Linked DNA regions of Nothobranchius furzeri. The protein of the gene in region 3 binds, or shares a complex with, the protein of the main gene of each other region. Links are inferred from orthologs where the notes say so. Each region holds a gene or a part of one and is shown on either strand. Other genes may lie near its edges.

Region 1 (9,680 bases), on a different chromosome or scaffold from region 3:
TACAAATCCACAGTTCTACCCACCAATGTAGTCAAATTGGTATTGCACATGCGCAGATTGAATTGAAGTTAGCTCAACACCACCTCATGGTGTGGTGAGCCGAACCAAAAAAAAATTAATAATAAAATAAAACATATCCACGAAGGGTTTTTTCTAAGGTAAATTGTGATTCAAGGCAAATATTTCCATTCATACTTTAAAATTAAATAATATTTTTCACTAAAATTTGGCAAACACTTGTAATGACTACAACAAAATCAGATACAGGTTTTCAGATGTACAATTGTTAAAAACAGCATTTAAACGTTAACTTTATACCACGCCTGTCGCTCGTTTTGAAAAAAAAAAGTCAATGTCGCCATGTTTCTGTGGCTGCTTCGATTTCAAATTAGCTTATGGTGACAATTACGCTAACCGCTAACTTTACTACCTTTCTTTCAACGACGGCCCATCATTCTTTCTTCCTGCAGAGTCTTCAATAAGTTTGCTGCTCCCAGAAGTGGGCGAGGTGGGGGTGAACCAATTCGAAATTTGTTCAGCAGTGATAACTTTCTCCATGGTGCGACCAGAGCTGGGTGAGACTAGAATGGTGGTTCGCACCTTGCCACGTGCCGGTGCCACGGATAACAAAACTAGTTTGCTTTCGTCCCATAGGCGCGCGCGTTGCCCTCTAGTGGTCGGACTCAATATTGCAACTACAACTGATTAGGCTGATCCCCATAAGAGCATTCAGCATGGTATACTAAAACGGATGACATAAACTTTAAAAACTCTAATGTGAGGATGTTTTTGTTCTTATTTATCTAATGTATGAGCTAAGTAAGGGTTTGTCATTCATGGCTGATTTAGCAAACTCAAGCCTTTTGTTTTCCTATGTTAATATTTAAAGTAAGGTTAGGCAATTAATCAAAAATGTATCATTATTGAAATTTCTGACTCTTATCAAGATAATTATTCCCATGTCAATAAATTTGATAATAAAAAAAATGAAAAGATGTGCGTAGGTTGGCAACGTTCATGTCCCTCAATACATGTGACAGCCTAGAGCACAACTTTTGTTTCTGCACATACATGTAGTTATCGTCCATTTATAGTTATCGAGGTGAACTTCTCAATATATCATACTGATTTTAGGCCATATCGCCCAGACCTAATTTAAAGGTTAAATTATTCTTCCCACTGTTTTGATTCATTTCTTGAAACAATGTATGCTGTTTTTTCAACAAAATCACACAATCACCTCTACTCAAAGCTGACCACTAAAAAAATTTAATAGTCTTTTTTGAATAAGGAGAACAGTTCAGACAAAAGCAACAGGGAAACCAAATTCTACAACCTGAGATAAAAAGGAATAATGTCCAAATGTACCTACAAAGTAACCAAGTCCTAATGTTACATTTCCATCACAAATATGAATATGTTCGGCTCAGTCTAATTTGTAAGAAAAACCATCACTACCATCATCAACAGTTTATTCACCAGTAACATTTAATTTACATGAAAAAGACAGAACAAAAATCAAATATGAAAATATGTCTTTATATCAAAAACTATGAAAAATAAAAATTGGTTTCTTGCCAAGAGTTCAGTCCCACTTGAGGTTTACATGGTCTCCATCGGTGAGCATACAGAGCTCTCCCGCATTAGGCTAATTTCTGCTCTGAGCTTCTCGTTTTCCTTGAAATCACATAAAAGGGACAAAGTTAATTAACATGATCCATGCTTGAATTTCATACTGCCCCAAATAAGTAGATCAAACAGAAGAATCCTTACTCCTTCAAGTCTGGTGTTTTCCTTTTTCAGCTTAACCAGATATTCAATCCTCTGTTTGTGGTTCTTGTGTCCAACAAGTTTCCCGTTCTCCTCAGAAAGCTTTAGATTCTGCTGACGGAGCATCTCATTCTCCTGCAGAAAAGAAAACTGTGTTATTGTTGTTTTAAACCGGTTTTTGGGTTTCTGTTAAAGGACAGCCGAGCTCCAGTGCACTAACTGAAACGACTAACACCAGTTGAAAACGTCAGAGGGCAAAAGGGCTGATGTCTTCTTTTTTATTTACAAATCAGCGACTTTTAGGTTTATGTCGAGCAACTTTTAGTTGAAGCGGGTCAGTTGTGCACTCAAAATTTCCTTTTCTCACCTGGAGTAGTTTCTCCTCATCATAAATCCTCTGGTTGATCTCTCGTAGCTCCAGACAGCGGTTCCTTAGCTCAGTGGTCAGCTCATGAACACAGGTCTGGGACTTGGCCAGAGTGGTTTCCTGCTCCTGCAGCCTAACCGGCAGGAAAACACCAATCAGCCTCAAAGGTGCTCGTGTATTTTACCTCAAAGGCCACTAAACCAACCTATACAGGTGCTCACCTCTTCTGAGTCTCAAACAGTTTCTGCATTATTTTGTTCTGTTGATAAATAACAACACAGAAATTGGCGTCATCATTCAAAAGTAAACAAGATGAGCAGAGAAGCAGATACGCACCTTCTCAGACCGTTCCTCATGCAGATCTTGCACCAAAGTCTGATTTATGGCTTCATGAAGCTCACTGAAAGACAAGTTTATCCATTTCACTTGTTTCACATGTTATAAAATGAATTGAAGTCAAATTAAACGAAGGGATCCAACCTTTTACTAGTATTGCTGTTATTCCTGGGCTCTGTGAGCTGACTCTGTTTGGTGTAAAACGTGTCTAGTAAACCCTGGATCTCCATCTGGACAACCTCCTTGTCAGCCAGCTCCGTCTGAGTTAGAAATAAAATTAAAATATAATTCTACTTTTCCAGTTTTGATGTTTAACATTTGCGCTTGCCTTCAGCCTGTGGATTTCCTCGTTCTTTGCGGCCCTCTCCGCGTTCAGCTCTGCCAGAAGAATCTCCATGCTCATCATGGAGGAGCGTCGGCTCTCCAGCTCCTGCTCCTGGCTCTCCAACAAGTCGTTCAGGTTTCTGTTGAAGCTGCCGAAACCACGAGGAGTCTTAAAGAAAAAGAAAAGATGTATAAGATTCCCCCCGATGCATTCCGGGAGCAAAAAACATTCTGATGCTGAAATAAAAGAAGGTTTGATTCATAAAAACAAAGTTTTTACCCGATCCAGGGATTTAGGTGTGACGGTACTCTCAGGGGGTTTAAAATCTCCATTTCTGATGGTTTTCTCAACAGCTTCTTGTTGTTGTTGCACCTGGAATGAAACAAGTTTAGAAAAAAGTGAATAATTGCTTCTAATGTGACACCAAATCCATTTTAAAATCTATCTTCACCTTCTGCTGTAGGCTCCTTATGATGGCCTCCTTCTTAGCCGTTTGCTCCTGAGATGTTTGGAGGAGGATGTTCTGCTCACCTAAGACCTTAGTCAGCCTGTCAACCTCTTCGGTGGCGTACGCGACCTCCTCCTGCAGCACCTCCACCTCCAGAAAAACATTCATTTTCATTACAGCAGAAATGGAGAGATGAATAGAAGTCTGTTCTCTCTTGTCTCAGGGCTAAAGAGAATGTGGTGCATCAACAAACCAAATTAACCAAAACATGTTGGATGTTTAAAGGACTTCACAAAAACGTAAAAACAAACTACCTCAATCTTGTTAGAGGTCATTTTTCTCTCTAAAGTTTCCTTCAGTTCACAGATTTCTGTCTGAATCTTTTGGTTTTGCTCCCTGGTGTTTTCTCTCTCACTGCAGGCAGCATCATATTTAGCCTGGAAGTCAACAGAATTATTATTATTATTATAAGCTTGGTGCTTTATACGGTGCATTAGAGGGCAGGTGACTTACCATCATGTCTCTGATGTCATCACTCAGGTGGATAATGGTCTCCTCCTTCTGGCTCAGCTCACTACGAAGGTCTTTGGTTTGGTTCATGAGGTCTAAAAGAACATCCTGTTGGAAAAATACAGTAGAAAGTATTTCTAAAAGGAACAGATGTAATGACGTCCTATTTGAAGATATATATATATATATATATATATATTTTTTTTTTTTACCTTATCCTGTTTAATCTTCTGTTCCAAGCTTGTTATCGTTTCACTGGCAGCGGTTAGACTCTGCTCAAGTTCGGTGAGTTTGGTTGACTTTGAAATAAAAATAAAAACAAAAACAACCAGGTTTAACGACGCATTGCAACTGAAAACCTGGCAATTCTTTCTGATCTGCATATATGTATGTATGTATGCATATGTGTGTGTGTGTGTGTGTGTGTGTGTGTGTGTGTGTGTGTGTGTTGTGTCCCGACCTGCTGATGATTTTGTGCTGTCATGTCTGAAACTTGTTTTCTGAGCTGTGCGTTCTGATCCATGGTTTCTAGAAGCTCTCTGAAGGAAAAAGGATCAATCGTGTAAGTTTTATGGTAAAAGGAGGACTTCAAAAGTGTTTTATTAATAAAACAAATCCAGTATTTAAACTGTGAAGAACTCACTTCGAAGTGCTTTCTTTGTTTTCTCTTAACTGGGAGATCAGACTGCTTGTGCGCTCTCGCTCAGCTTGCAGAGAATGATTCAAATTCTAAAAGAAAAAGAAAAATCTAAGGGCCAGAGTCAAAAAACAGGTATTTCTAGACTAGACTATATTTTACTTCCTCTACCTGTATATCTGCTTTCAGCTGTTCTATCTCCTGCTGCTTGTCACACAGCTGCTGACCGGCCTGGTCGGCATCAAACTTGGCTTCGGCTTGGAGCTGGTCGAAGGAATCCTGCAGGGTTCGGTTTTGTTCCAGAAGTTGTTCCCACTCCAGCCTAGAAAGAGCATTTAGCCGATTTTAGCACAAACCTACATCATACCCACAACAGACACGTCACACTGTTCATTTATACTTACTGGACTTTGTCCAGTTGGAGCTGAGTGCTGATCAGACTGTTGGAGAGCTGACTCGCTTCTTGCTGATGTTCACTTTGATCGTCTTTTAACTGGTTTTTCACAGACGCCAGCTCTTTGTCTGACGACTGCAGCAGCAAGCGCAGATCATGGATTTCGCTCTTCAGAACTGAATCGAGAGGAAACAGCGGTTAGGGTCAAAACAGGACATTCACTAACCAATCAGAGCCTCACCTTCTGCAGCTCGCTGTTCAGACTCAAGCTTCTCCTGCAGGACGCTCATCTTTTCTTGGAAGTTGAGCTGATCTTTGTTTCTGTTAGCTCGTTCGGCAGAAAGCAGCTGCATCAGGTACAGACCGTTAGCAGCTAGCATAAACACACAGCATCATTACATCTGAATAAACTCTACCTCCTCTTTGTGGTCACATTCTTGGGATTTCATGGCGATCTGCTCCTCGAGTTTTGCAATCTGCTGCAGCAGCTTGCTGTTCTTCAACTCCACTTCATCTAAACGTGTTTGGACACAACTCGCTTGCTCCTGAAGAGCAAAAGCTGATGTCAATAGTTGGTTTTTTGTAGTAAAGGGACAATCCGCGCTCCATTACCTGAATTTGATGCAGCTCTTCTGTCAGGGCCATCTCAGTCATGTCAGATGGGGGCTCCTCCGACCAAATGTCAGCCTCGTCATTCCCGTTCAGATGTTGTGGACTGGAGAGCGGCACAAGGCGGGAGCGCAGGTTGTAGGATTTGGTGGGCGTAGAGAGAATCTAGTGTAACAGCAAAAAACTGCATCAACGTCTAATCGCAACAAGCAACGAATGCCTCCGAGATGAAAACGAGCTCACCTTTAGAGTTTCAACGTGAATCCTGTTCAGCTCAGAGACTTCTTGATTTTTACAAGCATGCGTGGCTTCTAAAATATTTTCCAAATGCTTGTTGGACTTTTCAAGGTATCTTTTCTCGGACGCCAGTTGGGATAACTGTTTCCTAAAACACAAGATGACAAAACAAAACTGTAGCCCAGGCTAAAGCCAGCCGTCACATTCACCATTTATCACAGACTTTGACTTTAAATAAACATTTTATCGTTACTTTGAAACTTCTTTGTACTCCTCAAAAGCCTGGAGGGCAGCCGTGAAGTCGGACTGTTTCTGAAGCAGTTTTGAATTCAGCTTTTCGATCGTAGCTGTAGAATCAGCGTCAGTTCCCAGTGCAGATGACATGGTTGTGCAAGCTGTGGAGCAGCATGCGACAGTCACACGTAAATGTAAACAATATTTAACTTTGCAAGAGTTTTTTTTTCTAATGTCATGATGATAATCTTACTTCCTGTGAGTTTTTCTGACTCCAGTGCCATCTGGAAGGCCTCCTCCAGCTCAGCGGAAACTTGGGCACAAACATCTTCAGCGTTCATCACGGATTCAAGAGAACGTAGCATACGGTTCTCCTCTCTGAGGCTGTAGTTTTCTGCTGCATATCGAGTCATCTTAGGATGATGATCAACCTTATAGTGCAGAGGAGGGAAATTGATTTCAGATGTAACTTTAATCTGAGTTAAAAAAGACTTAAGAAATTAGAAATAAATCAAAGAAAATTTTTATTTTTTACCTGATCGCTCAAGATCTTGATCTCTTTTTTCAGCTGCTCTATCAAAGCCTGAGACTCTACGTCCGACAACAAGCATTGTCCTGCCTTCAGCTTTTTCTCTAGGCGGGAAATGTGTTCTTCTCGAAACCTGATGATCATCCTGCTGGAGTGGATGAACTTGTCTTTCTGCGTCCAGGCTTCTTCCAGCTGCGCCACCTTCTTCAGCAGCATCTGAGTGCAATCACAAAGCTGTTGTGTAACTTCCTATGAATGCTAATAAAAATAAATAAATTAACCCCCTTCACCTTCTTCTCATCCTCTTGCTTCCTCCACAGACGAACGGCAGACATTAACTTTGCTTTATACGAAACATCATGTTGAAGTTCAGCTGATGGACCTGATGAGAGAATTTTAAAATAATAAACTCATAGCCAAACCTCAGCTCTAACACAGATAACATTTAACAAATGTTTGGTATAGGTAAAGTAAATAGTTACCCATGCAGGGTTCAGATCCCCCTGGTGCTGCGTCTCTATCAGAGTCCACTCGGTGAAAAGACAACGCCTGCGCAAGCTGATCTTTCAGTTTCCTCACTTCAGCCTGCAACTGCTTCACATTTCCCTGTGTGTCCTCGTTAATGACAGCCTGTAAAATAACAACAAGGTAAAACAGCAACTGCCAGAATCTTAAACCAAAACATTACATAGAGGATTTAATAAAGCACACCTTGTTTTTGATCAGCTTGGCTCTCTGAGCAAACTGCAAGGTAGACAACGTTTCTCCAAAACACTTTGAACCAGGGTGGACATTAGCTATGATGTAGGTCTTAGCATTTCCTCCGAGAGAGTCCTGACGTAACAGCAAAGCCACACTTGTTCAAATTTTCTACATAGATTCCCCAAATCTGACGAAGGACAATTTCATTTTGATCACTTACCCGGAGCAGGAAGGTGAGTTTAGAATCCCTGTAGCAAATGTGGCGGTGCTTTCCATTAGACACATCCACCAGCGCCATGATCACCTGGCCCAGGCACATGAGGGAGCGATTGATGCTGCTGGCTTCCTGCAAAAGAAGTCATTCACACAGCAACTGTTATAAGCTGAAAGAAATGATTGCAAAGACATTGCAGCAAAGCTTGAGCATTCACACATAAAACTTTACCTTGAGTCTCGATCCCTCCGTGTGTGTGTCTTTCTGTCTCTCGGATCCTGCCAGATCCACAAGATTCAGCTGAGACATTCGGATGTTCACCACCTCATTGACAGATTCTTTGGACTCCAAAGTCATGCTGAACACAGCGTGAGATCTTGAGGACTCGCGGTTCATGGAGGTGGAGGCCACACGCCGATTACGCCAGCCCATAGACAGCACCTACATGGTCGCAAATGTAAGGGTTTACTTATAATTGGGATCTGACACAATAATAATCTAATTTTACAGAGAGTAAAACATGCAGTCACTATGGATCAGTGGTGTATAGTATACCTTGTAGGCTTCAGCTGCTGAGTTCACAAACTTCTCCACAGCTCCTTCAACAAACACACCTTTCTTAATGTTCTCCCTCAGGAAAAGGCTTGCCGAAGCTGTGTCCAGAAGATCATAGATTTGTTCGTTGTAAATTTCAATAAATGAACATTTGCAAAGGAAGCTCTTGGACTTGGAAGACTATCGGGAGAAAAGGAAAGAAACACAGGATTTATTAGAAAAATCAATAAAAAAAACATTGGTTTGAAATATTTTTGATGAAGAAACATCACAAATCACCTTCTCCACTTCTCTGTTGATGAGAAAAAACAAGTACTCAAAACTTCGTGGAATTACCCCCCTGAATTCATCTGTGAAGTTATCAAACTCAGACGGTCCTGCAGCGAGGGTTAAAAAAAAATCACTTAACTTTTTTTTTTTTGAGAAAACTCAACTTTAGATTTTTGAGAAAACTATAAACTCTCACCAAGCATTGTAAACGTTTTTCCAGAGCCTGTTTGTCCACTGCAAGAAAAAAAGTATAATCAATGCTCAACATGTAAAACAAAGCCATCAAATTGAATATTGTACATAAAAATGACACTTACTAAGCAAATATGGTACCATTATATCCATTCATGCAGGACTCAACAATATTCTTGGCCACACTGTTGAATACAGACTCCTGGAACACAAAAATTAAACATTTTTCCCCAAAAAGTTTACATCCTATGTATGTATTTAATGCAATGACGGTGTTTCAAACCTGAGATGTCTCCATGTCAGCAACATGATCGTAGGTGAAGGTTCGTGGTTCTGGTTTGGAGAGCAGACGGACGGTGTGTGGGGAGGTAACAGAGAGACACAGATTCTGATCTCCATCTGTGGTCAGCCCTGTTCCCTGGGTCAGAGGTCGCACTCGGACAAATACTTTAATTGAATCACTGTCGCCACTGTAACATCAACAGATTATTTTCATAAAAAAATAGGATTCAAATTTTAAGAAAATTGCTAACAGTTTATTAGTTGAATTCATTCCTGATAGTTGCTTATAAAGCTGGTGATTGAAAGTATAAATGCTTCAGAAAAAAATAAAAACATTTGCATGGGAGCATTGCATTAGCTGTTACTAGAAGACACAATTATCATCTACAGTTTAGTTTTATTGCTACTTTTTGCATATTTAGCAGGGACAAAGAGGCCTAAAGGTACCTTACCTTGCAGCAAGGAGGGTTGAATCTCCAAAGCCTGGTAACAAAATGTTCAAACGTTCGTTAAATGACTTTTTGTAACTGACACTAATGAAAAGACAACACATGAATTGATCGCGCATCCTATGGTGCTAAAACTTTAACCCAAGGCAAATATTCAGTAGCTAGCTAAAAAAATAAGTAAGGAAACAACGAATGTCGGTATCAAGTTTAACTGACAGCATATTTGTTGATTAACCGAACATTTCACTACCTTTTCCAGTAGTTTGCATCGTTGTCTACGAAGAATTAATCGTTAAAAATCTATTTATACGTTGTTCACGTCACAGAATCAGAGACGGACGGACAACATTGTTTATGTTGTTCTTTAAAATTGGCGGGCTAGTCGTCTTCCCCAGAAAACTACCCGGTGTTACGCTGAAATGTGTCCGCTGTAAAATAAAAAAATGGAACTGTGTTCCCACCTTATTTCCAATTATTCATTCCCACCAACAACATTAAAATTTTGATGTTGGAGAGGAAAAAAAATATTTACATACGCACTTCATGCAGTAATGATAAATTTCCAAGTTTTTATTATTATTATTATTATTATTATTATTATTATTATTATTATTATTATT
Region 2 (10,424 bases), about 11 Mb from region 3:
AGAGTTCCAGAGTCCCTCAGGGACCTGCTGGGGGTGTAGGGACTGAGAACATCACCATCGTATGATGGTGTTTGTCCATGTAAGGCTCTAAAGACCAGAACCAGGATCTTGAAATGAACCCTGAAGTTGACTGGCAGCCAGTGAAGCTGGAGGAGAAGCGGGGTTATGTGGGTGTGTTTGGAGGACTTGGTCAGAAGCCGAGCACAGGCATTCTGAACCACCTGTAGACGGTTCAGGGAGGTTCTGCTCAGACACGTGAAAAGAGAGTTACAGTAGTCTAAGCATGAGGAGATGAAGGTGTGGATAACTGTCTCAAGTTCAGAGCGGGACAGAATGGGACTCAGCTTAGCAATGTTCCTGAGATGGAAGAAGGAAGAGCGAACAAGAGAACTGACATGAGAATCCAGGGTGAGAGCTGGGTCAAAGGTCACACCAAGATTACTGACAGAAGGTTTGGTGTGAGAAGCAAGCTGACCAAGAGTGTCTCTGACTTTGGGAACCAGCTTGTTTGGGGCACAGATGAGGATCTCAGTCTTACCTTCATTCAGCTGTAGAAAGCTCCCAGCCATCCAGGTTTTGATAGAGTCTAAGCAGGTGTGTAACAGCTGCAGCTTAGACATCTCATGGGGCTTAAAGGAGATGTACAGTTGGATGTCACCTGCATAATGACGGTATGAGATTCCTTTGAAGGAGTTCAGGATGTGATGAAGAGGAAGCAGATAGAGAAGCGCAGAGGGCCCAGCACAAAACCTTGTGGGACACCATGGGTAAGGGAGGTGGTGGAGGACCTAAACTTGGAGATGGCCACAGAGCAGGAACGCTCAGACAGATAAGAGGAGAACCACCCCAGAGCAGATTCTGACAGGCCTACCCAGTCTCTCAGCCTCTCCAGTAGCAGGTGATGGTCAACAGTGTCAAAGGCTGCAGTCAGGTCCAGCAGGACCAGAACAGAACAGTCCCTTGCATCACTGTGAGTCAGAAGGTCATTAGAGACCCTAAGAAGAGCTGCTTCAGTAGAATGAGCTCTACGAAAACCTGACTGGACGCTATCATAGATGTTATGTTCATCAAGAGCAGCTGTGAGTTGTTAAGCCACAACCTTTTCCAAGATCTTGGAGATGAACGGAAGTTTAGAGATGGGTCTGAAGCTGCTATGGAGAGAGGCGTCAAGACTCGGTTTTTAAGAATTGGGTGGATTACAGCATTCTTAAACTAAGCAGGGACCTGACCAGAAACCAGAGAACCGTTAATTATGGAGAGCACGCTGGGACCGATGGACTGAAAAGCACTTTTAAACAAAGATGAGGGTAAGATGTCGAGGGGGCATGCAGAGGTCTTCATAGAGTTAACTAGTTTGGTTAACTCAGGCAAAGAAACAGGAGCAAAACCCATTCTAGGCTCCTCACTACCACCTGAGCCTGTTTTAAACACCATAGCCTATCTGAGTATTGCTGCTGACCATGCCCATCCATCTACGACCACAGTGAACCCATCCTTTCATGGCTACTTTCAGATAGATAATGCTCAATGTCACAAAGCTCAAGTCATCTGAAACAGTTTATTGATAATGACATTGAGTTCACTGGACTCTCAGCGATCACCACAGTCACCAGATCAATGCAAACAAGGACTTTTGGAGCGGGAGATTCCCATCACTGATTTGCAGCAGACAAATCTGCAACAACTATGTCCTGCTATTATAATAGAATTGTGGATCAAAACCTCTGCAGAATGTTTCACATCTGGTTGAATCTGTGACAAAAATGTTTTAGGGCAAAGATGGCAGAGGAGGTGTGCCTCGTAACCAGAGGGTTGAAGGTTCAACCCCAACTTAGTCTGTTGTTGTGCCCTTGGGCAAGACGATTAACCCACCTTGTCTACTGGTGGTGGTCAGAGGGACCGGTGGCACCTGTGTACTGCCCTTGTCAGTTGCGGCTACAGAGTAGCTCATCACCACCAGCAGATTTTTATCTTCACTGTGAAAAATCTGACAGTAACATTTCCAAGAAGCAAAACTTTTACAAAATGCTGGTGAAAAAAAAAAAACATTAAGATTTTGCAACACATCTGGAGCTTTTGCGGTGCATGGGTGAGAAAAATTGGTCACGACTGAAAGAAGGCGTTTTATCAACTGCATTAGCATAAATAGGGCCACCGCCTAAGGCAAACAACTTACAACAGAAACCTCTGTACAGCATAACATGAAGATGACACAATAAACAGCCCCAACTAAAGTAGCAGGCATTCTTCTGGCATACCAGTCTAGACACAAGCGAGGACATTCTTTCCAGTAAACATTGACCACAATATAAATGCCTCTGTATCAAAAAAGCAGAGGAACAGGGGTGGGAAACTTGTGGGTATTGTTTTGGATTTTACAGAACTGAGTCCATGGCTGCTTCACTTAAAAATGGCGGGTAGGGTAAAACATCGACTTTCCAATGCTGATGAAAGGACACCATATCAACCCAAAGAATGAAGTTGGTTGAAGGTGGATTGCATTTCAACATGGCTGTCATAGTTTTGCACAACACCTCCTAAATGCGGGCATGCGGCCCGCTTGTGCCTCGTTCCTCGAGACTTGTGTGTAAAATGAGACGTCTGCTTGACAGATTAATGTATGCAACTGGAATGAAATTATACCCAAATACTCAGCTGGCTCCCTCTTACCAGCTTCGTATTCAAGTGGTTACCTTCAAACTCCCATAACCTTAACAAACTTAATACCAGCTCCAATGTAGACAGATGATGTACTAAACAGATACAACTGATAAACACATTCAGTTAGCAGTAGAGGCCAACCGATATCGTTTTCTCAAGGCCAATGCAGATTTTTAAAGAATTTTGCTGCCGATGGCCAATATCTAAGGCTGATTATTAAGGCTGATATATACATATACGTTTTAGCAGCACATTGATTGTCAAAGACAACAGAACACTCAGTGTGTGCAATATAAATTAAGTAAATAAATCTCTTAATATTTATTGAACTTCAAATATAAAACAAACTCAAAACATAAAACTGTGTTGGGGTCCTTTATTCAGTCTAGTAGTCAGTTGGCCAGACAGGTGCCTGATTTTTTATTTTTTTAACAAATTTGCTTTTAAAAATAATTTCGGTCGATTACTGATAAAAACACTTTTTAATATATCGGCTGGCCTCTAGTTAGCAGTTTATCGTACCTGATAAATTCATCATGTTAGTGCATTGCCTGGTTAAATGTTATGACAATCTTTGATATTTAGCTTTGGACATTTAAGTGACAGCCGTTCCTATAATGTCATATCTTGTAAAATTAGGCCTAAAAACTGCAGTTTGTTGTAGGCAGTGAACCATAAGCACTTTTTATTAAAACGTGGACAATGAAGTTCCAGGACTTGGTTAAATACAAAACAGCACAATAATGTATTAAGTAAGAAATAAATTGATGCCTGATAAAATACAGAAACTGTTCACAGAGAAAGAAGGAGGATATAACCTGAGAGGGACACTAAACTTAAAGATACATAAATGATAAATGACTCGCACTTGAATAGCACCTCTCAAAGTAAGGACTCCAAAGCGCTTTACGCTACAGTGTATCATTCATCCATTCACACACACATTCACACACTGATGGGGATGAGCTACGATGTAGCCACAGCTGCCCTGGGGCGCACTGGCAGAGGTGAGGCTGCCGAGCACAGGCGCCGCTGGTCCCTCCGACCACCACCAGCAGGCAAGGTGGGTTAAGTGTCTTGCCCAAGGACACAACAGCAGAATTCTCTGTCCAGAGCCAGGATCGAACCTGCAACCTTCCGATTACTGTACAACCCGCTCAACCTGTTGAGCTACTGCTGCCAAGTTTAGAACATTAAAACAGTTGTGTATCACAATAATAGGGGTTAAATTATGGAACAATTTAGAAGAAGAAATCAAAGTAAGTACAAATATAAATGTGTTTAAAATGAATTATAAAAAACATTCTGAACAAGTATATAGTGGAAAATAGATGATTTATGTGGGTGTCCTTTATAGAGCCCTGCACTGAAGCCCTAGGCCCTCGGGCCGGGCTTCAGGCCAACGACTGTGTAATTACCTCGGACACGGGCCAGGCGCCTTTATTTTTAATCGAATTCATTTAAAAAATTGAAACACAAACGCAGCAGTAGAGCCCTGCGCGGGACTGTTTTCTTCATCCCGCTCCCGCTGAATTTCTGACCATTATCGCCTGCAACTGCAACGTGTGTGTTACACTCCCGCCCGCACCCGCAGTGTGCATGTCTACTCCCGCCCGCAACCGCAAAACTCGGAGAAATTATTACCTCACAATAAAAGACATGTATTGAGTTTGCGTCCTCTCTGGTCCTGGAGAAAACATGTCACAACTCGCGGCTCTTCCATCCATCTGATGCGGCTCTCCGTGCTTGTAAAATAATGAATGGATAATTAAATAAAATGCTTTATATTTTACTGAATTAATTTCATATCTGTAAGTCAATTCTATGTAAAGATTGTCTGCGTAAACCTGAACAGGTCCAACCCAGTCTTACTGTGAGACCGGGTTGACGGGTCACGCTTGTACGTAATCATATAGGCGCTTTATGAGCTGAAGAGATTCTGGGATTCTCCTCAGACGGCTCCTGGATGTGTCGCCACATTGGAGACAGGAACAAGCGCTATTCAGCCAAAGTTTCATAATCAGGGAACATTTTCTAAGTGACAAGTCTCTCTGAGCTACAGGGTTTGGAAAACACTCGCTTCAGTGGGAGGAACCTTCCCGCATGCGCTCTGGTTCTGCGACGCGCTCCAAGCCCCTCTCCACAACTTCAGCTCGCTGTGCACCATACGTACGCGCTGACAGTGAGCTGCGCTGAGCAGTGTCCAGCTCAGATGTTCAGATGGGAATCTTTTCTTGGGTGATTTAGCTACATCTGTGATGTGTGTAACGAATAAAATGTCAGTTCGTCTGCATGCGTCGGGGTAATTCTTTCTATTCTTTCTCCGTCAAAACAAACTGTCAAATACGGGAACTATCCAGTCAACACAAGCCCTGCTTTTAACTGTTCTGTTTTCTTGTGAAAATTGTTGGAAAGAGATAAAATTTAACTTGATTAACACCAGAGCCAGTGCGCCGTTATCTCCGTGACGGTAAACAAGGGAAAAACAAATTGATCGGATCCTGCATGTCTTTTAACACATTGGTCAGGATTGACGCACTTTGTTCTCATTTAGTTGGTTAAAAAAAAAAGTCGGGCTCGGGTCGGACCAGAGAATCCTGAAAACCTTTTCGGACCGGGTCGGGCTGGGGCTCCACCCCCTCGGGCTGGGCCGGACACGGGCTCAGATTTTAGGCCTGTGCAGGGCTCTAGTCCTTTATTCTAAGGAAAAGTAAATTGTATCAATTGTAAAAAGATGGTTTGGTGGTTTTTGGTGACTTGTACCATTTTGTTTGATTTAATGTAGGTTTTGTGTTAGATTTAGTAAACAAGTAAAAATTACTTGTATAAAGGAGTAGGGACTTGTAAGTTTCCACTTCAGCCTACTTCTTTTCAAACGGAGAAGAAAAAAAGGGATGATGATGTATTTTTTCTGTTTGTGGTATTTAAAAAAAAATAATGTATGTTTTCTTTGTTTGAAATAAACTAAACTAATAAAACAAGGCATGGCTGTGTGATTTCAGCCAACACATTCTCAAACCCAAGACGTCAAAATATGACGCGTGTGACCAAGCGTCAATATATGACGACGCCCCAGCGCGTCAGGAGACGACGCTCAGGGACAAACAGCTGACGCAGCGTCCCAGAGCTTCGGTATCAGACGCCGGTGGTGAGACGGACATTAGAACTACTTAAGCGTCCCCTCACCCCAATCCTAACCTCAAGGTTACAGTTTATGGACCTTAAGGTTAGGACTGGGGTGAGGGGAAGGTTAAATTGTCAAATAATGTCCGTGTGACAGCGCGCGTCAAAGTGACACCAGCGGAGCCACGTGACCCAGCGTGTCCCTGATCGTCGTCTCCTATATTGACGCTTGGTCACACGCTTCATATTTTGATGCCTTGGGTGTGAGAATGTGTTGTTTCAGCATAAACCAGCGCTGAACAGAATCTTCCAAACTAAAACAACGGTACTCTGTGTGAACATATAATGAAGATACAGAGCAAGACACGTCACCTTTGGGTCAGCAAGAGCGTTGATAACATTTCCTAGGGCAAGCAGGGAGCGGTTGATGTTAGCACCTTCTCGTAATCGCGCCCCTTTGGCGTTGGTGGCGCTGGCCCTCTCTGAGCCAGCGAGGTCAATCAGGCTCATTTTGGCAATGCAGACGTTGGGATTGAGACTGGCAGTTTTGTCCTGCTGCCTCAAATAGATCTGATAAATCAAACACAGAGCTGTTAGATTACGAAATAAATCACTCAGTCTTTGTATGACTTTTTTTTTCACCTCCTCATTTTAATTCATTACTTCACCTAGCCCTTCCCATAAAAAACTGGACTTTTAAGAAACTTTAGGCTTAAATACCTGAAACACAGCATGGGATCTGGAAGACGTGGCATTCATATCAGTGGGGTGCTGTGTTCTGTTTCGATTGCCAGAATCCAAAGCCTCAAGAATGTGGTCTGCAGATTTGGGCTGAAAAGAGATAAAAAAGTTTAACTGCATCAGATCTTCATTAGAAATCATTAAAGGCACCTGTGCACTACAATGAATGATTAGGCTCACTGTTTGGGTTAGTTATGCAATAGGGCTGGGTGCTTTAGCCTCAAAATTGTATTAAAATATGCGATTGAAGTTTCTGGTTTAAATAACAATGTAATCTCTACAAGGAGACTCCTATTTCTATTTTTGTACATCCTTGGAATTATGATCAGTTTCACATTACATTTTTATTTCAGCAGAAATATTAAGAAGCTCTTGTTGGGTTTGCCCCCTGGATGCACAGGAAGTGCTGCTTTTAGCTGCTGGTGGTGATTTTTATTAATGGAGAGGGGGATACAAAAGAAAATGCACAATTTCATGAAAATAATCATGTAATGCAAATATGTTAACTGTAAAAACACTGAACCACGTTGAAAATTTGTACACTTGGAGCTGTTTAAAGACAGCAGCAGATGTTAATCCATCAAGCCTGTAGAATGCAAACGCCACGTCTCAAATGCAAATTTAAGAAGCTCCTTCACACCTGAGGTCATAATTATTTAACTTCAACACAAACACTTTAAAAAGACTGAGAAAGCTCTTTAAATCAACAAACAACACTCAATGTTTACATGAATTCTAGCGTTGGTTCAACAGGTTTCCTTCAAATGATTCATTCATTTCATCCGCTTTCACGGGGTCAGGTTGTGGGGGCAGCAGCCTAAGCAAAGTGGCCCAGACTTCCTTCTCCCCAACCACTTGGGCCAGCTCCTCCGGGGCAATCCCAAGGCATTACCCTGCCAGCAGAGAAACTGTCCCTCCAGCTTGTCCTGGGTCTTCCTTTGGGTCTCCTCCTGGTTGGATGTACCCGGAAAATCTTACCAGGGAGACGTCCAGAAGGCATCCTAACCAGATACCCAAGGCCCCTGCAACTGGCTCCTGTCGATGTGGAGGAGCAGCAGGTCTACTCTGAGCCCCTCTTGGATGACCCAACTGATCTCTAACCCTTACTGCACACTGAAAGCATCAGCGTCACAGAAAAGCAGCGCAAAAGTTTACTCCAGTGCACACCGGGAGTCTCCGCTACGAAGCGTCATCTCAGCTGTGCTCCTCGCGAGATCACAAAATTCCTCAAATTTATGCCATCCGCCATTAAACCAAGAAGAAGGAAATCACATTCGATGTCAGTTGTTGGTCCTCTCCACTGCCATGGTTAAAGCCATAAAAACACACCGCTGCAATGCTGTGAGTAAATAAGCCGTTAGGGCACTTGCACTGATGTAATCTACACACACGCACACACACACACTTATATGAAGTCACATCGCTGCAATAGACTTATTTTGAAAATTAACTGGAAATTTTACACTGAAGCAGTGTGTGATTTCCTGTCTAGCCCTATGTTAACTGCAGGAATTGTTGCATACCTGTCTTAAGCGGCGCTGCTTCTGGGACGGGTCTGAAAATTGCCGCATCACGGCTGGTTTGAATCCCCCAATAGACTAACGGATTCTATCTGAAGCTGTGACGCTCCGCTGCCGTTCTGCACCACCGATGCTTCCACTGTGCAGTAGAGCCCAGACACTACATTTCAGCTGCTTGTATCCGCGATCTTGTTCTTTAGGTCACTACCCAAAGCTCTTCCGACTCAGCTCCCTCTTCCCTTCTTCAAATTAAATTTTATATATTGAAAGGAAACTACTAAATTGTTTTTCATGAACTATTATTTTGTACACTTAGAACATGGAAGACCTCCAGAGTTAATACTAAACATAGAAGGGTTTCTTTAAACAGCAGAGAAGCAGTTTTATTTTTATTTGTTTTAACTAGGGCCGGGACTTTAACGTGTTAATTACGATTAATTAGAAAAAAATAACGCGTTAAAAAAATTAACGCATTTAATCGCAGATTGCATTTCAAGCACGGCGGAACTTTTGTCATTGCACGACTTCCTCGTAGACTGAATATCACTGACGCACACAACAATGCACAGTGCTAATGGCTACTAAACGTAATAAAAACAGAAAGAAGTTGCCTTGCTTGGACTGATGCAGGATTTAGGAAACACGTCCGCCTCTTTTCTTAACTTGGGGGGGGGGGGGGAAACTTCCAGACAACAACGGAGTCCGTGTCGCGGACATTTTTCAGAGATAGTCTCTGCTGCAGCTGCCCGCCCGGTGGCACCGGAAACTTTACAAAAGTTGCGGTAAGCTATATTTTTAACATTTACGTAACATCTGTGCAGCGCTGAACGCACCAGACAGAATAATTCTGTGTCCTAACAGTAGTTTATGAAAGTAGTGAGACAAACGAGAGGCACCTGGCTGCCGCTGGGAGAACGCTCCGTGTTCTCACTACTCTGTAAACAGTTACAAACAACGTGTCTTAAAGTTGAAAACAGAAGTTTAAGTTCAAACAGAAACACTCTGAAACTTTTCTGATGATTTTCTAAACAATGCTGTCGGGGTATTATGTTTCTGAGACGAGTCTCTGTCTAAACATCACATGCATTACTATCGTTAAGCTGCGAGGTGTGCTGAAGCTGTTATCAGCTAAGGGGCGGATGCTTAAGTGCATCTGGGGCAGCGAGGAACGAGAAAGTTGTGATCAGGCTGGAGATCACACCAGATTCGCTGCTGCAGGCATGAATCTGCGGGTCTGCAGCATCCCCTTATTAACATCAGGACTTCCCCATGTAAGGAAGGTCCGCTCACCTGTTCGTCAGATCATTATTTCCTCGCCATGATCTTTTATCATCCCATCAACCTCCAGTCATCCAACTGAAACCAGTTAGTGTTCCTGATCATTCTCAGAATATGTCACGCCTGCTCTGGTGTTAAAAGTTAGTACAATTAAGTCCTAGATCATATTTGTGCCTGCTCTACTGTCATTTTGAAGGATTATTATTTATGTGTTTTTACTACATTATGAGTAGAAATGCTAATAAAAACTCAATTATACAAACAAGTGAAACTGGAAAAATTAGAATCTGGTGCAAAGTCAAATTTATTTCAGTCATTCAACTAGACAGAGAGACTATTTAAAGGCTCAGGAACCTTCTATTTGTAATTATAAATTTTAGTTGATTTGGGTTTTGTTTCATATCACACAGTGACATTTGAAATAATTAAAATGCATTTTTTTATTAAAAGCTTTAGTTTACAGTAATAACCATGTCTAATGTTCGATTCTCTGTCTCAAAATTTTAATTAAAAGTTTTACTTTGAGAGCACATTTTCCTGAACGATTAAAATGCGATTAATTGAGATTAATTAATTACAAAGCCTGTAATCAATTAGATTAAAATGTTTAATCAAGTCCCAGCCCTAGTTTTAACATCTAACCTATAACTAAGATTCTGCTTTGCAACACAATCAGAGGGAAATTGAATAAAAACCAGCTGTAATAAACTAACAGAAGGGTTCTGTATTTATCTTTATAAAGTCTACAGACCTTGTGCAGCGTGAGACCCTGAACGACCACTCCTTTAGAGCCGTCCTCTCTAACAGCAAGAGGCCCAACATTGGCCAGCAAGTCTCTGATCTGTTCGTTATAAACCTGTGAAAAATAAAATAGAGGAAACCAAAACAAATTTATCAAAACCAGTCTCACAATAAAATAAATTACTATTAAAAAGGGGCATGTATAAATACAGCGGCAGTGTTTTTAACTAAATTAGTAAAACTTCACTTTTACTCTAGAATTGACTAGTTTTATGCATTTACAAACAAAGGGATGTACACACCTCAAGATATGAAAATGCCACTGCAAACTCTTTCTCCTCCTTGGCATCATCCATGCGC
Region 3 (10,867 bases):
ATATATTTAATAATTAGGGGCTGTGCAGTGGTTAGAGCTGTTGCCTTGCAGCGAGAAGGTCCTAGTTCGATTTCCGGCCTGGGATCTTTCTGCATGGAGTTTGCATGTTCTCCCTGTGCATAGGCTTCCTCCCAGTCCAAAAACATGACTGTTAGGTTGATTGGTCTGTCTAAATTGTCCTTAGGTGAGAGTGTGTGTGTGTGCATGATAGTTTGTCCTGTGTGTCTCTGTGTTGCCTTGCGATGGACTGGCTCTCTGTCCAGGGTGTACCCCACCTACTTGCCCGTTGACTGCTGGAGATAGGCACCATAGATTTATCTGAAATGCTGATTTAAAGTCAAATTAATTTTAAATGTTAAGAAAACATGTAAATAAATGTCATCACCAATCACACCCAGTTTATAATGAATAACATGGTTTTTAAAGAGTTTAACTTTTATTTGCAAATCTTACTCTCATCTGCAAAGAAACAAGAGATCCTTCAAACCTTAAACACAAGACTGTGGTCCCATTTCATGACTTTGATAAGAAACACACTAGTACTGCAGAATACTAGATTACTGATTTATTCTGCTGACTTGCAGAAGAAGAATCTGAGAACTGGATCGACTGGACTGCTCCTCACCTCAGGGTGCTCATTGTCAACGCCACAAGAATTCTAGTTTTAGCACGCACCAACATTTCTGCTGCAATCAGAGAGGAGCTGAAACAATACAACTTCTGGGGACTTGACAGAAGTCCCACCAGTTAAAACCAGAAGACATTTACATAGTGCAATAATTATAAATATGAACTAAATTCATACATATAAAACGTCAACGCACCTGCTATGAAAACTGAGAAAACGCTGCTAAATGATTGGTTTAGTGATAAATCTACAAAGGCTGCAGCTCTGCAGATGGAATGTAAACAGGACATTTGGAAACAAAATCATGCTTTAGTGTTTAGTTGCCTTTTCCTTTGATACTTTTATTTTGATAGTATATATAGCCTGTATCGTACAGAGGCATCTTTAAAAAGCAGCATGCTCACTACACAGAGGAAAACACGTCACTGAAAAAGGTACACAGTTAGAACAGGGATCCAAAGATGTAGCGTTTGGTTCCTCTGAGTGCGGAGCGTCCACTGACGATGACCGACTGGCACATCAGAATAAAGCCGAACGCAATCGGTTCTGCAGCCATTCAGAAGAGGCTCAGTTGTTGGCGGCCATCCTCGCTTTGAGGCGGTTGATTTTGAGAGGGAGGAGGCCGACCATCTCTTTGCTCAGCTCCAGCTCCGTCTCCACGGCAGCTGCTGCCTCAGGGTGAGCCTCGCAATACTGCACCACGTACCTACACAACAGGACACAAGGTATCACCGCACTGTTGCCATTTCTTTATTTAAGCTGCTTGTAAATAAAAATACAAGACGTACTTGTAGTTTTGCAGGGAGCTGTCGAGGTTTTCCAGCTGAACGGCAGGTGAGGAGCTGATCAGTTTGCTGTGCAGTCGGGCTACTCTGAACCTAGCCACCAGAGCTGGTCTGAGCACCTCCTCCTCCAGGTGCTCCGGAGGCTTTCCCTCGGGAGAACACAGAGAATCCAGGAACATCTGGAAGAACCTGGAGATGAGAGGATCACACAAATCCTTCAGGAGAGCGTTGAAACAAACAGAAACTCAATCTGGTGCTTCGAACCCAAATGCACTCCTACTTGGCAGAAGCAGAGCAGAGATGGTTGAACTTCTTAATGGTGTGGCTGTCTGAGGCCTGTGCATCTGCTTGTCTGTTGGCCAGAGTCAGTTTGAGGTCCATCATGTCGCTGTAGGTCTCAGCCAACTCAAACATCAGCTGTCGGCGGATCATTAGGTAGTACTGAGAATTCAGGTCTGGAGGAAAAACAAGGAGAGTCACAGAGGAAGACTTTCTTAAGAATTTTAAAGGAAAAACAACAACAGCTGTACCGTTGCAGATCGGCTCCAACATGTCGACTCTTCGTTTGTGCATTTTGCAGCGACGCTCCAGGTCTTCCTCAAAGAAAGCCAGGGCCCGGAACAGAGCACTGTGGTCCTGCAGAATCTCGATGTGGTCCGTGACGTAGCCGTCCATCTGATAGTACTCTTTAGCCTTGGAGATGGAAGGAAGGAAGCAGCTAACCGTCAACCACAAAAACAACGTTTCACGCAGACACATTAGCTCTGTGGCTTTAAGATCAGGTAATGTCCCTAAAGTGCAGGTTAAGCATCTTTATGAAGAAATCATGTGACTTAATGACACAAAAACACATTTTAACAACAGAGCAGAACCAAATCCTTCTTTTCACTAAATATTAATGTTAAAATCCTTTTGAAATAATTATTTTGCAATCAAAATAAATTTTATTTATTCGGACAAATTAACATTTTTAAAAAGGCTTTTTTGAAAAAATGTAGAAAACTTGTGCTTTTTAAAAATTGGAAAAATCAAATTTATAGTTTCAAATACAAATGATGTTCTATGCTGGTAAAGAATTACTGTAAGGTGTTTAAACTCCACATTCCTGCAGAGTTCCTCTACTTGTGATGTAATATACGAGTTTCAGTCAATTAAACAGAGACGGTTTCCTGCTGTGCGTACCTGCGTGACATAATTCTGTCCCACCAGAAAAACCGATCTGGCCTCCGTGAAGTCCAGAGGTAGCAAACACATGACCTGTAAGAGACGGAGGACGCAAAACAAACCAAAAACACAAAAAAGCAGTCAGCAAAGTGACTTAATAAAATCTATAGAATAGCGCCCCCTACTGACAAGGCACCCAAAGTCCTCATTAATAGTTTTTAAGATTCTCTTATTATATTAAACATTCAAACTTATATAATGAAAAAAACAAACAAAACATAATGCACAGTGAAATGAAGGAATTTGACAAAAATAAAAATGACAAAGCTACTAGGGTTGCTCGACATTGGCCTTTTGTTATCTTACAGATATCCGACATCTTCTGACTCTTAATTTCTTGATACGAACATCTCATTTCTTCTATCATGCATGCTTGAATTTTACACACTTTTTGTGTAATATTTTTTAAATACAAAATCATAATTGTGAGATTAACTTAATCCACTCCATGTTTCTTTACTACATTAACGCAGTGTGTGTGTGTGTGTGTGTGTGTGTGTGCATTTAAAGAAAATGTAAACAAAGCTTTATGACCTCATAAAACAAAGACCCACACAATAACCAACATAAAGTTTGAACTCGGGTGACTCAGACCTTTTCTTCCACACTTGCAATAGAATCAAAAGTGTCTTCAGAGCCAAACAGCAGAGCACTCTTCCTCCCTTTTTCTTCCTCCTCCTCCTGTCGTCGTCTCGCTCTCCTCAGCTCATCCTGACGATCCGTATCCAGCTCACCGATGTTGTCCTGCACGAACACCCACAAGACTTTCATACAAGACTTAAAAACCAGCGTGAAGATCTGACAGTTAGAGGAATTTATTCCGTTTCTCTGGTTTTCGTTAACAGGCACAAACAGTACCTCCAGGAGTTTCTTAGCATCCTGTAGGAGATTTAGACAATATTTAATCCAACATCTCGCCATCTCTGCTCTCTTCTGTCTGAGCTGTTCTCTGCGCTCGCTCTCCGCCTCACCTGAGTCGGACAGAAAGAGACGATCGGATGTGCCAGTGACCAAAGAGAGGAATGATAAACAAGTCTAGAGGAACAGGGTGAAGCAAGGTGAAGCAAGGAGAGGTGAAAACTACGCCGGTTTACTCGACTCTGGGACAGGCGTTTAAATAAAATGTTTTCATGAGAGGGCTCTTACTTTCCTGAGCTACGGCCTCAGACGGAACCTCTCCAGCCAAACCTGAAACAACAGTAGCTGCTGCAAGGCAATGCCTGCCCTCCATGTATCGGCCCTGAGAAGAACACCAGCACAAATGCGAGACGCTTACTAAAGTTTACAACAGAAGAATCAACATCCTTTGAGATTTTAACTCATAAGTCAACAATTTCCCGTTGCACCCAAGTGGTACCTTTGGGATGTAATACTGAGACAGCGCAGCTGCATTCAGAGCCCACTCCATCGGGTTGAACTGGTTTAACTGTAACTGTCTCTGCAGGGTGCAGTGGCAGTAGGTGGCAGCACGCTCTTTCTGACCTGAGAGACAAACGATGGTGAAACATCCATATGTAATCTAAACTACCCGGTAACGAGAACTTCAGCCACACACACTCACCGAGGTTTGTATACACTTGAGCGAGGTAGTACATGGTGTGGGTGTAGGCCAGCTCGAACCTGGTGGAAGAGAAATATAATTTAAAACGTGCAGAGCATGCTTATGGAAGCTGGGGTTCAGAAATTACCTCTTGATCCTTTCCTGGTGTGTCAGCAGGTTCTCCTCTGCACTAAAGTACTCCGTCATGTCGGTGGGAGGAGTCCCATCCTTCACGAGGCACAGAAAACACAACAATCCCAGATGTTGGGGAGGATTTGACCTCATAAAATTTCAACTGCAGTGTTTGTGATTATATATTATATATACGAGACTCATTGGCCGCGTAAAATACACAGAAAGGGTCGTGAGAAGCGTGATGACAGAACAGGAACAGAGCAATGTGGTCCTGATGAACAAGCGTGCTGCAAATGAAATGTCCAAATAAAAACAGTTCTGGATCAGCTACAGTTTGAGTGAGTGCACCAGCAGCTGCTCAGAAAACCTAACTGACCTCCTTCATGTAACGCTGGTAGATGGACTCCGCTTTTTCCAGGTACTCTTGAGCCATCTCGGTCTCATCTCGGCCAGCCCAGAGGATGCCCAGCTGGTTCTGACGGAACGGAGAGCAAACACACACACACCATCAGCTTATGTACTCACACACCTGAAATGATGCCAACTCCGCCATTACTAAACCAGATGAAACGTCATCGTTCGTTACCCTGACATTAATGAACAGCGACACATTCTCCGACGACACCCCGCATCTCTCCAGCAGCTTCATGCAGTTCATCAGATGCTCCTGCCCGGCTGACAGCTCCTCCGTGTCCACATGGTTGACGCCCAGAAAATATTCCACAGCTCCGAGCTTGGCCACTCGCTTCCCCGCTGGGGAGTCACCGCTGAAGCCCCGAGAGAAGACACCCTCCTCCTTTTGGTCGTCCACCGGCTGCTCCGTCGGTAGCTGGTCCCCGCTCTCTCCGCCGTCGGCGTCCTGCTCACCGTCACCAGCTTCTAAACTCTTCAGTGAACAATAGATTTCTCTGAGAAGTTCCCGGGCTTTGTACTTGGAACGGAACGGGTCGTTCTCTGGGTCATTTCTAGATTCTACTTCGGTGAGATTTTGGGCGTTGTTGAATTTGTCGCATATAGCTCTCCACTCATCACTATGGAAGGACGCCATGTTTGTTTTCTTCTGGGTCCTTTTATTGTTGCATTACTGCCGCCTGCTGGACGAATCTGGTCTCTACAATCAAATGACCTCAAACAAAACGGTTACTTTTTTCTAAACCTGTGAAAATTCTACGTTTTATTATAAAGAATACCAAAACAAGAGTTTATTTAGATTTTATTTTTCTCCCCCAAAATCGTTAAAGAGCAAGTCACCCCAAATCAACTTTTTTTCTGATAAACTATATAAATGTGTATGTAATCGCGCTGCAGGCACATGTAGTCAATAGTTTAGCACTTTAGTGCATTTTAGTTAAAATTTAAAATTTCTGCCTGAAACTGTCAGTGTTGTGTCATTGTCAGGTAAAAACTGCACTACATTTGAATTTAAATCTGCCATCGCTATTGGCTAAGAGGTGCCCTAAAACGTTAGGACATTCTAGAACATTCTTCTTCCGGCTCTTGGAGGGTGCAGACGCTTTTTTTCCTCCTCTCCTCCATATGTTATCCTCAAGGCCCTCTGTCTGTCTGTGTGTGCTGGGTGCATGGCTGCTTCTGCATTTTTCTGGAAACTGAAATTCACTTAAATGGATCTCGTCAGTTGGTCTCTCAACGTGATTGATAAAGTTTTTTCAACGATGAGAACAGGAGAAGGGGCTCCTGGATGCCCCGCTGGGACAGACCCAGTTGGACACATCATGGACTCCTGGAAACAGTGGAACTTGATTTGTTTATCTCAGCTGTCTGTGGAGGACTCTGAAGACGTGTGGGTATTCGTGGTGTTGGTGTCAGGTTTCCTGCTCATTGATCTTGGAGGCTACCTGGCTTACCGGAAAATTAACGAGCTGTCGAGGATTATTGGCCTGATCCCGGAGCTCAGAGATGGTTTGCACCGCGCTGTGAATTCACAGACTCAAATAATTGTCGAGATGAATCGTAAGCTTGGAACTTTGGCCGAGATTCCTTCATTGGCACAAAAGGGTGCCATCAAGGAGAGAGTGAACGAATCAGCACGGATTGGGATAGATTAATGTCCATTATTGGGATTTTGAGAGTTTGAGGACCAACAAACTGTAAGACAGAGAGGAAGTTATCTCTGTCTAGCCCCAAAACAATTTCTAATCGGAATCTGGAGCCCTTGAGCCTGCAAGGCTCCAACGAAAACTCCCCCCTCAGAAGATATATGGAATGTGCCGTCGCTATGGCAGCTCAACTCTGTCTCCTTTCCCAGCCTGGGCGGGACTGCGGGAAGGCCGCTGAAATGTTCCAGGGTCACTGCAACTAGGGCTGCAACAACGAATCGATAAATTCGATGAAAATCGATTACTAAAAGCGTTGGCAACGAATTGCGTCATCGATTCGTTGTGTCGCACAACTCTTCCAAAAGCGCCCCCCCTTCCCGCCCGCCGTTGCGCGCAGACCAGAGCAAGTCAGATCAGCGCGAGGGAGAGCCGCAGATCAGCGCGAGGGAGAGCCGCAGATCAGCGCGAGGGAGAGCCGGCAGATCAGCGCGAGGGAGAGCCGCAGATCAGCGCGAGGGAGAGCCGGCAGACTTGCGCTGCTGCGAACCGGTTCCGCATTGTTGCACAGCGATCCAGGCAGCTGCTTCCAGCGCACGGTCCATTCTCAAAGTGGCGCAACCAAAAAACTATAATTAGCACACGATCGTTCATGTCCGCACATGTTCTCTATTTTCTGTCTTATTTGTGCCTGAAGCCCTCTGCTACTGCGGAGCTCATCACCTGTGCTGTGGTGATGTCACCTCACGCAGCATCGAAAACGCGCTCTGCGCTTTTCGGTCAGGAGATCCCTTTGACCTGCTCAAAAGTAACTGATGAGGTGAAAAGGTAAGAATCCAGGCAACAGATTTTCTGGAGAATTAAGAGGAGATGCAGGAAGATGAGAGACAGACAGGACAGGAAAATAGTTCAATAAAAACAAGAAAACAAAACAAAGTGTTGAAAAGTCAAATGTAGGTAGATTTATCACCACTACACGTTTTTACCTATAAAACAATAAGTTATACACATGTCATATTTATACATCTGATACAATTCAGATCACCTTCAAAACTCAGTCACACACCCAGGGCCGTTTCAAGACATTTTGGGGGCCAAGGCAAAATGCCCCCCCCCCCCCCCAATAACTGGGCTCCCCAGAAGCCTCTGTGTAATTCATGCCCTCTCCAGTAGTGTTAGTTATACAGTGTTTATAAAAGCCCCTCAGACATTACTGACATGTTCTAATATTATCAGATGAAAAACTAAATTATCAGACATGCTGTCTCATCTGCTTCTTTTCTAAACTTGCAAAAAGTAACAAAACCATTTGAAAGCCACTATTTGTGGATTCTCTGAAAGTTTCCATGGAGTTTGTGACAACTTATTTTTTCATTGATCCTATCGTCTAATCTCACAGCTGAAACAAGCATCCTTAATAATCTGTGCACAGGAAGCTTACCGATGCTGTAGTAAAACAAAAGGTATAAAAATTTATTATTAATAAAACCTTGTTGCAGCACTAAAGCATAAAAATTAGATTTTGCATTAAATATGCAAAATATTTACATATGAATTGTTTTAGAGCCCTTTAATTGGCAGAATCTGATATTAATTTAGTTCTTATAAAAAATGGGTCCCAACATGGTTTGTGTGGCGTTGCCATAGTGTGACGTCATAGGCACAGATCCCCTGTCCTCTTGTTTGGAAATGGAAATATGATCACCCTACATTAAACAAACTGTCCACCCGGGCTTTTGCACTGCACAGAGACGCTTCGCTGCCTACGACTGAACGTCAGTTGAGAGTCAGTCTCATGCAGACTGACCAATGAAGAGAGGGCCTCAAGTTAAGACCCTCTCCTCATTGGTCAGTCCACACGAGGTGGGTCAAAGGTTACTCTGGGCGGGTTACGTGTTGTCAGGCATTCAAGTATTGAGTATATTTACTGCATATTACAGTAAAATATTCTGTATGTGACCACATTATGGTGATCCTCGGGTCGTGATGATGGAGCCCTTGAATATTGTTGCCCAGGGTACAACAAAGTGTTAATCTGGCCCTGGTTCCGCCGTCACATTCCCGCAGAAACTGGTTGATCACACCGGGGCCAGACTACTAGCATGTGGTTTTACAGCCACAATGTCCTCAGAAGCAAAAACGCTTTTCAAAGGGAGGGAGGAGTCCTAACTGTTGCTGCAGGCGTGTTGTGTGAGAGTGCAGTTATATACTGGTTAATATATTTTTGGGTTCAGTTGCTTTCATGTGGCCTAATGTGAGTCTATTTGGGATCATTGGAATGATCAGCAGCATTTCTTGATGTGACTTTATGGCAGTTGCCCAGGGCATCATCGCAAGGAGGATGGCATTCATTTACTTTTGTTTTATTTGGTATTTTTTCAGTCATTTTTGGAAATAGTGATCAATTTTGATTAATTCACAGCCTATGTTTAATTACATTTAAAATAAATGTCAACAGATGAGATCAAACAAAACAGATGAGAATTGCCCTTAACTTGGACCAAGCATTTTAGGTCACAGATAGATGTAGCTTAGGGTCTCTGTCTATACACCTTATAAGACAATTTAGGTGATGGCATGTTGTTTTTCTGCTATTGAACTGTTTTCTAATAATGTTGTGTTAAATAAAGTGAAGGAAGGAGAGAAATAACGTTTCCCTAGCAGTTTTTAAAAATTTCCCCATGTAATCCGATTAATCGATTAATCGTGTCGAGACCCCATCCGATTAATCGATTATCCAAATAATCGTTTGTTGCAGCCCTAACTGCAACCCTCCAACCCTCAATGCTCCTCCCCCATCCACATTGAGGTGACATGCGCTGCTTATTGTGGCTGCAGGAACTGAAGTGGGGATAGTCCCAACCCACCACCCCACCTAGTGGACACTTATGTTGTGTTGTCTGAAGTCTGTTGCATATCTCTATTTGAGGTGTTTTTTTGCAGAGCAAAGCTGTCCTCCTGGTGGAGGGTAACTCTGAAGTGCCTTTTTCCCCCTCCACCTGAACCAATCCTCATGTAGCCCTCTGATCTCTATTAAGGTAGCGCAAGTCGGGGTTGTGAATGACCACAGTCACCAATTCTTGTCATGTGTCTCTCCCATGTATGTCTGATCTCTGAATTGTGTGTACTGAAACTCTAATTTCTCTCTGGGATTAATAAAATATCTTTGATTTGATTTGATAGCTGGTACCATATGATGTCACAATGTCATTGTGAGCCTGTGTGTGTATGTATTTGTTAGCGGCTCCACCCTCTAGGGTCTGCTAGGCAACAGCATTCGTTGCATTTTTCAAACAGGAAGTGGGAGTTGAGTAAGAATCTGAGAAATGTGTTTTGTGTTCTTTTGTCACGTTTCCTATGAGCACACTAAACCTACAGCTGATAACCTTTACTTATTATTACAGTCATGTCTTCATGTATATGATATCCAGAAGCACGTGAGGATGTGTTTCAGCTGCTAACAGGCACCAGAATTAAAATTGAAAATTAAACAAATGTGAACTCTAACGCGATATCTTCATCCATAGTCACCCGCGAGCTACACATGCAGCACCCCCTAATACTGCTGCTTCCGTCTGTTTTCCAGGCGAGGAGCAGCTCAACTTGAACAAGGCCATTGTGACATCATATGGTACCAGCTAATGTTCTAGGGTACTTCTTAGCCAATAGCAATGGTGGATTTAAATTTAATTGCAGTGCAGTTTTTACCTGACAACGGCACAACACGGACAGTTTTAGGCAGAAAATTAAAATTTGAACTAAAATGCACTTAAGTGCAAAACTATTGACTGCACTTGTCTGCTGCATGATTAGACACACATTTATGTAGTTTATCAGAAAAAAGTTGATTTGGAGGTGATTTGCTGTTACAAAGTTTAATTCTCCTAAAATGTGATTCATACCACGCATGCAGTTGTTTGAGAGTGAAATTATCCACTGCTGCATTGTCAATTAAGCAATATCACACAAGAGGGAGTGTGCTGTTGCTGAATATCAGCACTGGTGTGATTCGGTTGTAGGCACGAGGCTGCAGGCCGAGTGCCATAGATAATCACACCAGTGCTGATATTCAGCAACAACACACAACCTCGAGTGTGATATTGCTTTTATGCAACAGTTCTACCTACTCATTTTATTTTTATAGCAACAATAAGCAACAACAGATAATGATTTTGTTCATTTATTTAATCATTTATCAGGCTCCGCCAACACATAGTCCCAACATGAAACGGAGACTCAGACAAGGCTGTTTCTAGGCAACACAAACATTTTCTACATAACGGTTAGAACGCCTGTGCACAGCGGAGTGATACTGTTTGTAAACAGTCCCAGTGCTGTTATAGTCCAACATCAGCACTCTTGGAAAGTCTCTTGACCTATCAAATCCCTCTGTCTGAACTAACTGTTGTAGAATTATAGATTAAAACATTAATACTTATTTGAAGTTAAACTCGAATAAATCTGTAAAATTATCAGCACCAACTAAAGGTGTGCATAAATG

What was found.
Region 1: the proteins of kifbp (region 3) and kif15 are in contact, whole or in part, in a cryo-EM structure (PDB 6ZPH), measured with the Homo sapiens proteins. The link is inferred for Nothobranchius furzeri from reciprocal best matches to the Homo sapiens genes KIFBP and KIF15. Residues at the interface, in NP_056449.1 of Homo sapiens: Lys26, Tyr33, Lys36, Ile106, Glu109, Ile147, Ser150, Glu151, Glu153, Thr208, His209, Tyr212, Tyr213, Gln216, Gln219, His220, Phe224, Gln238, Glu248, Trp249, Ile251, Asn252, Thr255, Gln258, Phe259, Asn262, Tyr415, Val416, Thr417, Glu421; in NP_064627.1 of Homo sapiens: Leu187, Glu189, Ile191, Lys192, Lys193, Arg231, Glu232, Arg235, Arg271, Met280, Arg281, Leu282, Lys283, Glu284, Ala285, Gly286, Asn287, Asn289, Arg290, Leu292, Ser293, Gly296, Gln297, Ile299, Ala301, Val303, Asp304, Val305, Gly306, His312.
Region 2: the proteins of kifbp (region 3) and kif18a are in contact, whole or in part, in a cryo-EM structure (PDB 7RSI), measured with the Homo sapiens proteins. The link is inferred for Nothobranchius furzeri from reciprocal best matches to the Homo sapiens genes KIFBP and KIF18A. Residues at the interface, in NP_056449.1 of Homo sapiens: Ser150, Glu151, Tyr212, Tyr213, Gln216, His220, Gln238, Ile251, Asn252, Thr255, Gln258, Asn262, Gly414, Tyr415, Val459, Asp460, Leu461, Asn462, Pro463, Gln464, Leu467; in NP_112494.3 of Homo sapiens: Glu181, Thr183, Gln184, Lys185, Gly186, Arg274, Phe275, Val276, Glu277, Gly278, Thr279, Asn280, Ile281, Arg283, Ser284, Leu285, Leu288, Gly289, Val291, Ile292, Arg314, Lys317, Asp318, Gly322, Asn323.

The regions. Positions count from the first base shown.
Region 1 is NC_091758.1:31,346,945-31,356,624, forward strand, and holds kif15 (kinesin-like protein KIF15), read right to left. Parts: upstream 9,468-9,680; 5' UTR 9,330-9,467; coding exon 9,311-9,329; intron 9,095-9,310; coding exon 9,064-9,094; intron 8,800-9,063; coding exon 8,613-8,799; intron 8,532-8,612; coding exon 8,455-8,531; intron 8,372-8,454; coding exon 8,334-8,371; intron 8,245-8,333; coding exon 8,147-8,244; intron 8,048-8,146; coding exon 7,868-8,047; intron 7,754-7,867; coding exon 7,544-7,753; intron 7,445-7,543; coding exon 7,319-7,444; intron 7,231-7,318; coding exon 7,108-7,230; intron 7,027-7,107; coding exon 6,879-7,026; intron 6,779-6,878; coding exon 6,687-6,778; intron 6,613-6,686; coding exon 6,403-6,612; intron 6,299-6,402; coding exon 6,121-6,298; intron 6,029-6,120; coding exon 5,887-6,028; intron 5,782-5,886; coding exon 5,640-5,781; intron 5,562-5,639; coding exon 5,400-5,561; intron 5,333-5,399; coding exon 5,204-5,332; intron 5,135-5,203; coding exon 5,029-5,134; intron 4,964-5,028; and 33 more. Other genes in the region: ATP-dependent RNA helicase TDRD9, read right to left, coding at 431-558. UniProt on the Homo sapiens protein: Plus-end directed kinesin-like motor enzyme involved in mitotic spindle assembly.
Region 2 is NC_091749.1:64,379,561-64,389,984, reverse strand, and holds part of kif18a (kinesin-like protein KIF18A), read right to left. Parts: coding exon 10,367-10,424; intron 10,180-10,366; coding exon 10,075-10,179; intron 6,616-10,074; coding exon 6,505-6,615; intron 6,355-6,504; coding exon 6,157-6,354; intron 1-6,156.
Region 3 is NC_091749.1:53,754,469-53,765,335, reverse strand, and holds kifbp (KIF-binding protein), read right to left. Parts: upstream 5,398-10,867; 5' UTR 5,361-5,397; coding exon 4,899-5,360; intron 4,788-4,898; coding exon 4,689-4,787; intron 4,406-4,688; coding exon 4,326-4,405; intron 4,258-4,325; coding exon 4,199-4,257; intron 4,120-4,198; coding exon 3,995-4,119; intron 3,878-3,994; coding exon 3,784-3,877; intron 3,609-3,783; coding exon 3,496-3,608; intron 3,382-3,495; coding exon 3,232-3,381; intron 2,671-3,231; coding exon 2,596-2,670; intron 2,107-2,595; coding exon 1,944-2,106; intron 1,869-1,943; coding exon 1,694-1,868; intron 1,603-1,693; coding exon 1,417-1,602; intron 1,335-1,416; coding exon 1,196-1,334; 3' UTR 415-1,195; downstream 1-414. UniProt on the Homo sapiens protein: Activator of KIF1B plus-end-directed microtubule motor activity. Required for organization of axonal microtubules, and axonal outgrowth and maintenance during peripheral and central nervous system development.